3 linked regions of the Rattus norvegicus genome follow. The protein of the gene in region 1 purifies or fractionates together with the protein of each later gene. This does not show direct contact. Links are inferred from orthologs where the notes say so. Each region holds a gene or a part of one and is shown in the gene's direction. Other genes may lie near its edges.

The links.
Region 2: the proteins of Ep300 (region 1) and Klf5 purify together in Homo sapiens (affinity purification with western blotting; 3 studies listed by BioGRID). This does not show direct contact. The link is inferred for Rattus norvegicus from reciprocal best matches to the Homo sapiens genes EP300 and KLF5.
Region 3: the proteins of Ep300 (region 1) and Zeb1 purify together in Homo sapiens (affinity purification with western blotting; 5 studies listed by BioGRID, with this or other methods). This does not show direct contact. The link is inferred for Rattus norvegicus from reciprocal best matches to the Homo sapiens genes EP300 and ZEB1.

Annotation. Positions count from the first base shown.
Region 1 is NC_086025.1:115,032,755-115,036,408, forward strand, and holds part of Ep300 (histone acetyltransferase p300), read left to right. Parts: intron 1-717; coding exon 718-855; intron 856-2,095; coding exon 2,096-2,524; intron 2,525-3,339; coding exon 3,340-3,519; intron 3,520-3,648; coding exon 3,649-3,654. UniProt on the Homo sapiens protein: Functions as a histone acetyltransferase and regulates transcription via chromatin remodeling. Acetylates all four core histones in nucleosomes. Histone acetylation gives an epigenetic tag for transcriptional activation.
Region 2 is NC_086033.1:82,474,930-82,478,583, forward strand, and holds part of Klf5 (Krueppel-like factor 5), read left to right. Parts: coding exon 1-642; intron 643-1,727; coding exon 1,728-1,787; intron 1,788-3,654. UniProt on the Homo sapiens protein: Transcription factor that binds to GC box promoter elements. Activates the transcription of these genes.
Region 3 is NC_086035.1:56,646,651-56,650,304, reverse strand, and holds part of Zeb1 (zinc finger E-box-binding homeobox 1), read left to right. Parts: intron 1-1,637; coding exon 1,638-1,815; intron 1,816-3,454; coding exon 3,455-3,654. UniProt on the Homo sapiens protein: Acts as a transcriptional repressor. Inhibits interleukin-2 (IL-2) gene expression. Enhances or represses the promoter activity of the ATP1A1 gene depending on the quantity of cDNA and on the cell type.

The DNA of each region.
Region 1 (3,654 bases):
AAGGTATGGCAACAGGAGCATGAACCTGAGAACTTACATTTTAGCCACAAACAATGAGCAGAGTAAATAAAGGGGGATTAATAAGTCTGTAAACTCAACCCTCACCTACTGACATACTTTGTCCAACATGGCTGCACTTGCTGAAGATTTTATAATAGCACCCCTAGCTAGAGGCCAAATTTTCAACTGCCCAAGACTGGAGAGACATTTCTCATTCATATTACCATAGGTTCTTAATTCTCCGTATATCCTTTTATTAAAGGTCTAAACTCATGTAAGGCCATTTTAGACAGGAAAAGTGGACCTGTCTCATCACGTTTCCTGATCATGAATACCACATTAGCCAGTAGTCATGTGATTTTTGCTTGTTTCCAGCCATTTAGGTTTGTGCTGTTTCAGCACCAGTAGTAAGAGCAGAGAGCGCATGGAATTACTTATTCATTTTCCACTGTGACGAGAATACTCAGTTGTTTGTTTCATGTCAGAGATAGAGATATCTCGAGCCATCCGTTCCTTCACCCTCTTTCTTGAGGTTATGTTCAGTACTTCCAAGCCTGGTACTCTGAGTTTTTAAGTGATTACTAGTTCTTTCACTTATGTTTTCCTCTCTGCAAACATCTGGATATCACAGGAGTGATTGCTCATTACAGTGGGAGAATATTGTAATGAAGCATTTGGTGATCTATGGTTTGGTGTGGTGTTTTTGTTTATTTGCAGCCTATGGGCTATGGACCTCGCATGCAGCAGACTTCTGGCCAGAACCAATTTCTCTCCCAGACTCAGTTTCCATCCCAAGGAATGAATGTAACAAACATGCCTTTGGCTCCATCCAGCAGTCAAGCACCAGTGTCTCAAGTATGTTTTTACTGTTTAAAATGATGCTTAGTGTGCAGCAGGCACACAGGCCACAGGGCACACATACAGGACAACAGCATTTACTCTACTCTCCTACCTTTGTGTGGGGTCTGAGGATTGTGTTCAGATTCCAGACGTGACAGGCAGACATTCTTTCCTGCTGATAACAGCTTCCATGAGAAATGTGGCATAGAAATAGACAGGTCTTACCATTTAACCTTGGCCTTTAACTCAGAGAACAAATCTTTACTTTTTAAAAATATTTATTTGGAGTTTTGAGACTAAATTTCATGTAGCTCAAACTTGTCTGAACCTCACTGTGTATCCTAGGAGAGTTCTGATGTCATATACTCCTGTTCAGCCTCCCAATTGCTAGGTTCTAGGTTTGCCTTACCACACTCTGTTTTGTGCTTATAGCATTTTTAAGCAAGAGACAGTGGTTTTGTAATATTAAGCTACACATCTCAACCTTTCAAACCATATCTTTTTTTTTTGGTAGTATTAGGAATCAAATCTAGCATGTGCATATGCATTTAAAGTATTGTACTATATGAACGAATCTTAATATAATAGCTCAGGGTAACACTGAATTTTTTCCAAGTAGTCTAGGTTAGTCTCAATTCATGATCCTCCTGCTTCCTCTCAACTAGCTGGATTAAAGGCCTGTACTACCAGGACTGGCCAAGGATGAACTCTTAAAAATAAAATCTTGGGGTTGGGGATTTAGCTCAGTGGTAGAACGCTTGCCTAGCAAGTGCAAGGCCCTGGGTTCGGTCCCCAGCTCCGAAAAAAAAGAAAAGAGAAAAAATAAATAAATAAATAAAATCTTAGGGTTGTTAGAGATGGCTTTCAAGTTAAGACCACTTGCTGTTCTTCAAGACCCTGGTTCAGAGTCCATCTTTGTATCAGGGTCTCACATGCCTGTAACTCCACTCCTGTGCATCTGATTTCCTCTTGTGGCTGCTTTCTAATCAGGCATGCTTAAGTTACAACCCTGTATGATTGTGAGTGTTTCCCTTTCCTCCTCTTTAAAACTTATTGAGTTCAGGCCTGCACACCTTCAGTCCTTGCTCTGGAGACAGACAGGCAGGTGGTCTCTGTTAGTAAAGCTAGCCAGGTCTACATAGTGACACTTTTTCAGAATGAAAAAACGTTAGGTATTGTTTTTTGTTTATTCTCACTGTGTGTACTAAGACTATATATCCGCCTTTGCAATAACGTATATCTTTCATTCTCACAGGCACAGATGTCCAGTTCTTCCTGCCCAGTGAACTCTCCTATAATGCCTCCAGGGTCTCAAGGGAGCCATATTCACTGTCCTACTCTGCCTCAACAAGCTCATCAGAATTCACCTTCTCCTGTTCCTAGCCGTACCCCTACTCCTCATCACACACCCCCAAGCATAGGGACTCAACAACCAGCAGCAACAGCAATTCCAGCGCCTGTTCCTACACCCCCTGCCATGCCGCCTGGAGCACAGCCCCAGTCTCTACGCCCCCCATCTAGACAGACTCCTACACCACCAACACATCTGCCTCCCCAAGTGCAACCTTCACTTCCTGTTCCTCCTGCTGACCAGTCCCAGCCACAGCCTCGCTCACAGCAGAGCACAGCAGCTTCTGTCCCCACCCCAACAGCACCACTGCTGCCTCCTCAGCCTCCTACTCCAGTACGTAGATTGGAAACTCCAGTAATGTTTTTTGTTTTTCTTTCTTGTGGTTTTCTTTAGTTTTGCTTTCCATTTTGCTTTATCTCTTCTAGGACCTGAAGACTTATGGGTAAAAGAGTATATCACCACTCTGTGCCTTATTTACATAAAGATATTTTTAAACAGATTAAGTAGCAGTACTGAGAAATTAAACTAAAGGACATTATAGGACTAATTACACATAACCACACAAGTCAGAGAGCAACCTGGAGCAGTCATTTATCCTCTTCTACCATAGGTGTCGCCCAGGGATCAAATTCAGGTTGTCAGTCTTGATAGCAGGTCCCTCTACCCAGTGAACCATCACATTGTCCGCAATTACATTTTTTTTTCTTAAGATTTATTCATTTATTATATATAAGTACACTGTAGCTGTCTTCAGATACACCAGAAGAGGGCATCGGATCTCTTTACAGATGGTGGTGAGCCACCATGTGGTTGCTGGGAATTGAACTCAGGACCTCTGGAAGAGTAGTCAGGTGCTCTTAACCGCTGAGCCATCTCTCCAGCCCCGCAATTACATTTTTTAATACCTTGAGTTTTTTCTCTGAGGAAGTCCTCTTTGGAAGTAACACCAAAACCTTTGTAGCCATTCAAGTAAAACGAACCAGCCAACATTGGCAAGTCCTGTACCTCCTATCTTAAGATGAACTGAGTAAGAGGAGACAGCAGTGGGTCCAGTGGCACTGCTCCCAACAGAAATGGTACGGCTCTGTAGCTTAAAGTTAAACTCTGAGTAATTGACAAGCTTTTGTGTGCTTTTTTTTCCTCTTCAGCTTTCTCAGCCAGCTGTAAGTGTTGAAGGCCAGGTGTCAAACCCTCCATCTACTAGTAGCACAGAAGTGAATTCTCAGACTATTCCTGAGAAGCAACCATCACAGGAAGTCAAAATGGAGGTTAAAATGGACGTGGATCAACCAGAACCTGCAGATGCTCAACCTGATGACACAAAGGAGGTGAGGCTCTGTTATGAAAGGAGATTTGTGGGTATCCCTAATGAAGAGAGTAGATACATAAGTGATGGTCATGGACTTATTCCGAGGAGTATGTCTGTGAAATAGTGAAAGTTCTGCCTTGTCTTTCAGGCTAAA
Region 2 (3,654 bases), on another chromosome or scaffold:
AGACAGAACCTGTTACCATTTTCAGCCACCAGAGCGAATCCACCGCCCCTCCTCCTCCGGCCCCCACCCAGGCCCTCCCTGAGTTCACCAGTATATTCAGCTCCCACCAGACCACAGCGCCAGAGGTGAACAATATCTTCATCAAACAAGAACTTCCTATACCAGATCTTCATCTCTCGGTCCCTTCCCAGCAGGGCCACCTGTACCAGCTGTTGAATACACCTGATCTAGACATGCCCAGTTCGACAAACCAGACAGCAGTCATGGACACCCTTAATGTCTCTATGGCTGGCCTTAACTCACACCCCTCTGCTGTGCCACAGACGTCCATGAAACAGTTCCAGGGCATGCCTCCTTGCACGTACACCATGCCGAGTCAGTTTCTTCCACAGCAGGCCACCTACTTTCCCCCATCACCACCGAGCTCAGAGCCTGGAAGTCCTGATAGACAAGCTGAGATGCTCCAGAATCTGACCCCACCTCCGTCCTATGCTGCTACAATTGCTTCGAAACTGGCAATTCACAATCCAAATTTACCTGCCACTCTGCCAGTTAATTCGCCAAATATCCAACCTGTCCGATACAACAGAAGGAGTAACCCGGATCTGGAGAAGCGACGCATCCATTTCTGTGATTATGATGGTATGTGGTCTGTGTGCTCTGGAGCATCCGTAGTGTTTTTCGTGTTCCGGGGTGCCCCGGAGTCTCACGTTTGCTCCCTTTTGAACCTTAGCCATGAAAATATATAGGGTGTACTTTTTCTCTTAATATTTTTGTGTTTTATGCTGGTGTATAATGGCTAGCCAGTCATGACAGCTCATGCCTTTAATCCCCGAAATGAGGCTGAGATAGGAAGATGTTCTAACTAGCCTGGGCTACATAGTGAGATCTTAATTAACTCCTACAATTCCCTTTTTTATTTGATTTGTTTATGTAATGACTAGACCATTAATCTAAATGGGGTTTCTTTCTCTTTAGTAGTATTGGATTTCATTTGGTCTAAAACCGTAGCACCAAATTCTAAAGTCTCTGGAGATTAAGTAGGTTGATAGGCAATAGTGCATGTGGTAACTTCTCTTCAGGTTGTAGGGACCCCTTGGCAGGCACAAGGCATCAGGATGAATTTTAAGAATGGTTGGTTCCATTAGTGTGTGCTCGTTCCCCAATGAGATACATGACCCAAAATATAATTGGACGTAATACATCTCCAAGTTGCAGGCATAAGTGAGTTTATGGTTAATGCGGGGCATAATTTATTGACTGCACAATGTGGCATGACATGCTAAATGAAAAAAAAAACACAGGAGTATAGAAAATTATAGTTATCTCAGATATAACACTGTCAGTCCTACATCCATTACATTAAATACACACACACACACACACACACACACACACACACACACACTACGATAGCTCTCCAGTCACTGAAGCCTGCCTTATAGCAAAAAGTACCTACTGGAATATAAACACAGAATTTCCATTTGTTACTGGCTGGATTATCTGTGGTCTTTGCTCCCAAAATGGTCCATAAAGCAGATCACCTCTGCCTCCTAATAAGGTCAGGAGGGCACCTTGAAACTTCCTAACCAAAACTTCCAATATTACATCTAGCACAAGAGATTTCATCTTGAAAGCCAAGTTTTAAACACTGAATCATCGAATGTAAAGATTGCAAAAGGCCCTGGAAATGACAAGTTGTTCTTCCTCTGTTCCCTTTATTTTAGGTTGCACAAAAGTTTATACAAAGTCGTCTCATTTAAAAGCTCACCTGAGGACTCATACGGGTAGGTAATTTTCTTGTTAATTCTGGGAGTTGTGTAAATAGTATAAGTGACATTCATCCTTTTAAAAGCCAAGATGTGTTTGATCTCTTCTTTCTTCTGTCAACTTTTATTTTTTAATGGCCTACCTTTTCAGCAAGGGCTGGGCTCAATTCAGTTCCCCAAGAAACTGATTCCGGGAAGGCTGATGTCTCCTCGGTGAGACCTTGCCCTGTCACCTCACGTAGAATTAATGACCCTCAAAATGTGAACAGCAGTGTTTACTGATGGATTTTAAAACTTTAATGGCAATGCTATTTCTTTCTGTCTTGAAAGAAGGAAAAAAAATCTTGGTAAATCATCTTGCTTCAATAAGGCCCTTTTTTAAGGTAAAAACTTTTCCACTCACCACGTCGAGCACCAGTGCTTAACACATTATCATCAGTTTCACCAGTGGCTTCAAATATTTGTGTTTTAACCTTATTGCTGTTTCTGAAAAGTGGGCCTGAGATTTGCAGAGTATGAAATGGGGTGGCCAGGACGGAGGGCTGTGGTTTGAGAAGGCCTCCTCCATCCTTAGTATTCCATTTCATTCTCATTTTTAAGTTCAGTCTCTAATTATATTTTTGATGTGTTTGGTTAAATTCACAGCAGTCCCTTGTAGGAGCTATTAATTTTGAAGCCCTTATTATCAGAATCACTTTTACAATGAAATTCAGCAGCCTACTTTATTAGAGGGTGGGTGGGTTCCACATACCCATAATATTTTCAGGTGTCTGGATGGCTACAATTATAATTTTCTTAAGAATAGCCCTAAAGGTAAAAACAGATATAAAAGTGGCTGCATTTCCCCCGCCTCGATAAATACACCCTCCTTACCTAAAGTTCAAAGAATAAGTTTGCTAATAAAAGCAGTGACCTAGCAAAATGTATTATTCCACCATTGCCATGGAAACCAAAGTATTCAACAGTTCCTTTGAATGGGTTGTTGGGTTAGTGTGAGGACTTGAATCTCCCCAGGCTAGATGTTACTATGGAAATTGAGTTTTGATAAATGAAGTAGTTATCTCTAACCGCTGCATTAAAAAGTAAAAGCCTTTGAACAAAGGTCAGTGCAGAAGTAGAGCCCTGTGAGAGCGGCTGCAGACTTCTTGTAGGCGTGTTAGGGAGCCTTGCTAGATAATCTGAATGCTAAACACTTCCTCAAATCCAAATGGTAGATTCGGGCTTTCCTGGAACGGCTTTTAAAAGAAAGACATCTCACATTTATCTGTGATGAGAATGAAATCATTTGAGCCCGAGGTATATTTTTTTTTTGTCAGCAGGTAAGCACGAACAGAATAATCCAACAGATAATTCAAGCTCCAATATAATCCCTCATAACATACAGTTGACAGGGGCCAGAAGAATCCATATAGAAATACTAAAGCAACATACTGAAATATCCTTTTGTAGACTAGTGTTGTTAGGGAAACACTGAACTTGGGCTTTTTTTGAGCTTTTGATCAAGGGAAACAGAAATAGTAGCTTCGAAACATTTGAGCTGTTCCTCTCTCATCAGAAGTCCTTGAAACTGGAGATAGGGAAGAAGGAAGGCATTTTCGAGACTAAAGTCCCCATAATAAAATGTGCAATTACATATGCCGATGTAACCGACTGCTTATTGCGGGCTGTATCTGAATAGCCTTTCCACCCTGTCAGGGTTTACTGCTGAATGCTTGCTTGTACCTGGGATCCTGGAACTTGACCTGCTGGCAGAGAAATTTAATAGTGGGTCTGAACAATGACAGTACTAATAAAAAAGCAGACTGAGACGGAGGATCTAGGCCTAGTTAGGGTCCCATGGAAGGACTTTGTCACTCGATCGTAAATATTGTGGCCTTAAACATCT
Region 3 (3,654 bases), on another chromosome or scaffold:
CGTGCAGTGTGGTTGTCGGTATTCATGAGGCATGGCTGTGGCCAGGAGTGCACTATCTGTTTCTTGCTGTCTCTTCAGAATCTTGCCATGTCACTAGGCTTAATGTCACCACTTTTTTATCAGTTTTCTTAATTGAATCAAATGCCAGAGATACCTGTTTGATCTTACTGCAGGCACAGCTGCAATTACTTCCATGTCCTGTGACCCTTCAATACTGCCTTTCATGGGTGTTCCCAGAATTGTAGTGACTCTTGAAGAAACCATGTCCATGACCAATGACAGTAGCTCTCTGGTGTGTGTGTGTGTGTGTGTGTGTGTGTGTGTGTGTGTGTGTGTGTGTGTGTGTGTGTTGTATACTTGTGTATGTATAGGTGTGTCCACCCATGAGTGTGCATGTAGAGGCCAGAGATTGACTGTGACTATCTTCCTAATCACTCTCAGATTTTAGGGACAGGGTCTCTCCTTGAACTGGAGCCTACCATTTTGTCTAGACTGGTTGTCTAGTGAGTCCCCACTATCCACCATCTTCCCAGCCCTTCTTGATACATGTTTAAATTTAAAGAAAACAGAGCTTTTACCATTTCAAATGACTGACTATCAAAAAACTATAGAGTCACTTCTGCACTGGCAGCTATAGTGACAAGCAAATGAGTGGCTTTGCTTGTCATAGAGAGCTTTCAGAAGAACAGAGAGAGTTTAGAGGCAGAACTCTAGAAGAGATGCAAAGGTCATAGCTGACCTTAGTCTGCAAGAGGCTCTCTGCAGAATTATTCCATTGAGAAAAGGGCCTTCCCCTAAAGTGACCTCCCTGAGACTGTCTTCAGGTATTGTGGTGTGTCGTGTATATTCTATGACAATCATAAGGGTTCTGTTTTACACACAGCTCCCATTTAAAAGTCTCACTCCCTCTCACACTTTCCCTCCTCATTCAGGGAAAGTATGGGCCAAAGCAAAACCCTCTTCGCCAGACCAAGGGAGCTGGCACAAAGGCCTCCAGAATGGAGGACACAGTTTAAAGATATTTTCTAAACATTACATCTTAATTTTTACTTAGTGAAACTCAGAATTCTTGTTAAAACTATGGTAAATAATGAATTGGGAATCAAGCTCATTGATTAAACCTTTCTGCAAAACTACTGTAAAATCATAATTAGAACAAAGTAAATGTGGCAGCTGACCATCTGATTGGCCCCTCTTTTTGGTACAGTTGAGGGATGTTTTTGCTATACCCTGTTCTATGTTGTTCCCAGACTCATTGAGTCTCTCTGTGTCTATTTGTAGTGTGTGCTAGCACCCCGTGTGCAGTCACTGTAGTGTGCTAGTGCCCCTGGAGCTGTCTGCAGTCATTCTCCCATAGGCTTGCTGGGCTCTGGTGGATGTCTAACATGATTTCTTTCTCATGCATCTTCTGATCTTCCTACATTTCTTTATTTATTGGCAGTGGGGTGCCTCCCATGTCACCCCTCACACGTGGAGGTCAGAGACAATGTAGAGGTCAGCTCTCTCCTTTCTCCATGTAGATCCCAGGGATCCAACTCTGGTGATCTGTGTTTGTGGCTTTGTCTGCTGAGCCATCTCACTGACCCTATTGCTTGTGAACCTTTTTCTTAGACATTTAATCTTCTTTTTCCCCTTAGGATGAAAGACAAGACACTAGCTCAGAAGGAGTCTCCGTGGAGGACCAGAATGACTCTGACTGCACGCCACCCAAAAAGAAAACTCGGAAGGCAGAGAATGGGATGTACGCATGTGACCTGTGTGACAAGATATTTCAGAAGAGCAGCTCCCTGCTGAGACACAAATATGAGCATACAGGTGCGTGGGGGACACAGGCACAAGGTTCTGAAGCCGCCTGTGGCCCAGGGCACAGGAAACCTTCCTGTGGCATCTGAGGCTCTCAGCTCTGCTCCTTGGTCTTCACTTCACAAGTGGTGCAAGGCTGGCCTCTTGGTCACCTAAGGGTTTTTAAAAGAAAGAACTTCTGCATAAGAAACTGAACTTGATTTTAAGAACACTTCAGTCCTTAGGTTGACCTAGGACCTACAAACAATGTCTTGCAGACCAAACAAGGCTCCACTTATCTCTCTGATGCTTGTGAGCCAAGAATAGACTTTTACATTTTTTGTGATTGAAAAGGATTTTTTTTTTAAAGATGAAAATCAAACTTTGGCATTCTAGATGATGTTTTATTCCACCCAGAGATCCCTCACTTGCCTGGTGCCGAAAGCTGTTGTTTCTACTCATACCAATGATAGATTTGAATGATTGCAGTGGGGACAGAGGGCAGCCGGTCCCAAGATGCTTGCTTCACCAGGGAGGGCTTTTACAGAAGGTGCTTGCTGGCCTGCCCCTCCCAATTCCCTCTCTCCAGAGCCATGCTGGTCTATTTTAGTAAGTGTGTCTCTGCAGCCTGGGAAGTCCAGATAGGAAGCAGGCCCCTGTGGTCTGAGAACTCCCTCCACGACTGGCCTCAAGCCTCAATAGCTTTTGGACAACTCCAGAATGTCCATAGTTTAGCACCAGGCTCCTAGCAGTAAGAGCTGCACAGCCAACAAGATGGCTAGATGAAAGGCTCATTTCATTGTAACTAACCCCAAGTGATTGCCTTACCAGTCACTTCAGCTGCAGCTGCAGGACCCAGGCACATACACACCGTCAGCCTCTTACCAACCATGGTAACTCATTCCCTCTGGTGACAAGACACAAGAGAAGTGTTCATCACACTCTGCAGTGTGACACTTGCACTGTTGTTGGGGTTGAAAGCTGTACCTCTCTAACAAAAGCTCAGGACCATGCCCTCTACTTGTATTTACTGAGAAAATTAGAAAATCTCCTAATTCTTTAAAAAGAGTTAAATACCAGTAATATCAAAATTAAAATGACATCCTAGCTGTAAAAAGAGATGTCAAAAGTCCTTTCTGGATTTTAAGTGCTTATGCTGTACTTAGAAGTCACCAGTCCTGGTTATGCCTGCTGCCGTGGTATGTCTCCTGTGCTGCTCAGGCCACACCCACTTATCAGGGACAAGATCGCCCTGCGGGGCAAAAGCTGGTTTAGATATCATAACAGCTTCTACATAAACTCTACATGTGTGTTAGTTTGCTCATACGTAAAAAGATCCGTGAGACATCAAATGCCATAGAACTCCTCTTCCTGAGACCATTGCTGTGCACATGGGGGCCTCAATGGCCGACATTTTGCCATGTGGTCCTGATGTGTGGACTTTTGGCTTTTCAGCCTTATGCAGTTAGCACTGACCTCATCTGCAAAGCACTGTGTAGCCTTGAATTTTCACATAGAAAAGATGAACCATAAGTATAGTTGGGGACCTGCCAGTTTCTTGAGCATGGAACTATAGCCCTTCGCTTTCATAGTCTTAATGTCCCCTCACATCCCAAGCACTCTGTTTACTTCTGCCAGTATTCAGTTTCATAGCTGCGTTCTTACCTTGCAGGTAAGAGGCCCCACGAGTGCGGAATCTGTAGAAAGGCATTTAAACACAAGCATCATTTGATTGAGCACATGCGACTGCACTCTGGGGAAAAGCCCTACCAATGTGACAAGTGTGGCAAGCGCTTCTCACACTCGGGGTCTTACTCTCAACACATGAATCACCGCTACTCCTACTGCAAGAGAGGAGCTGAAGACAGAGAT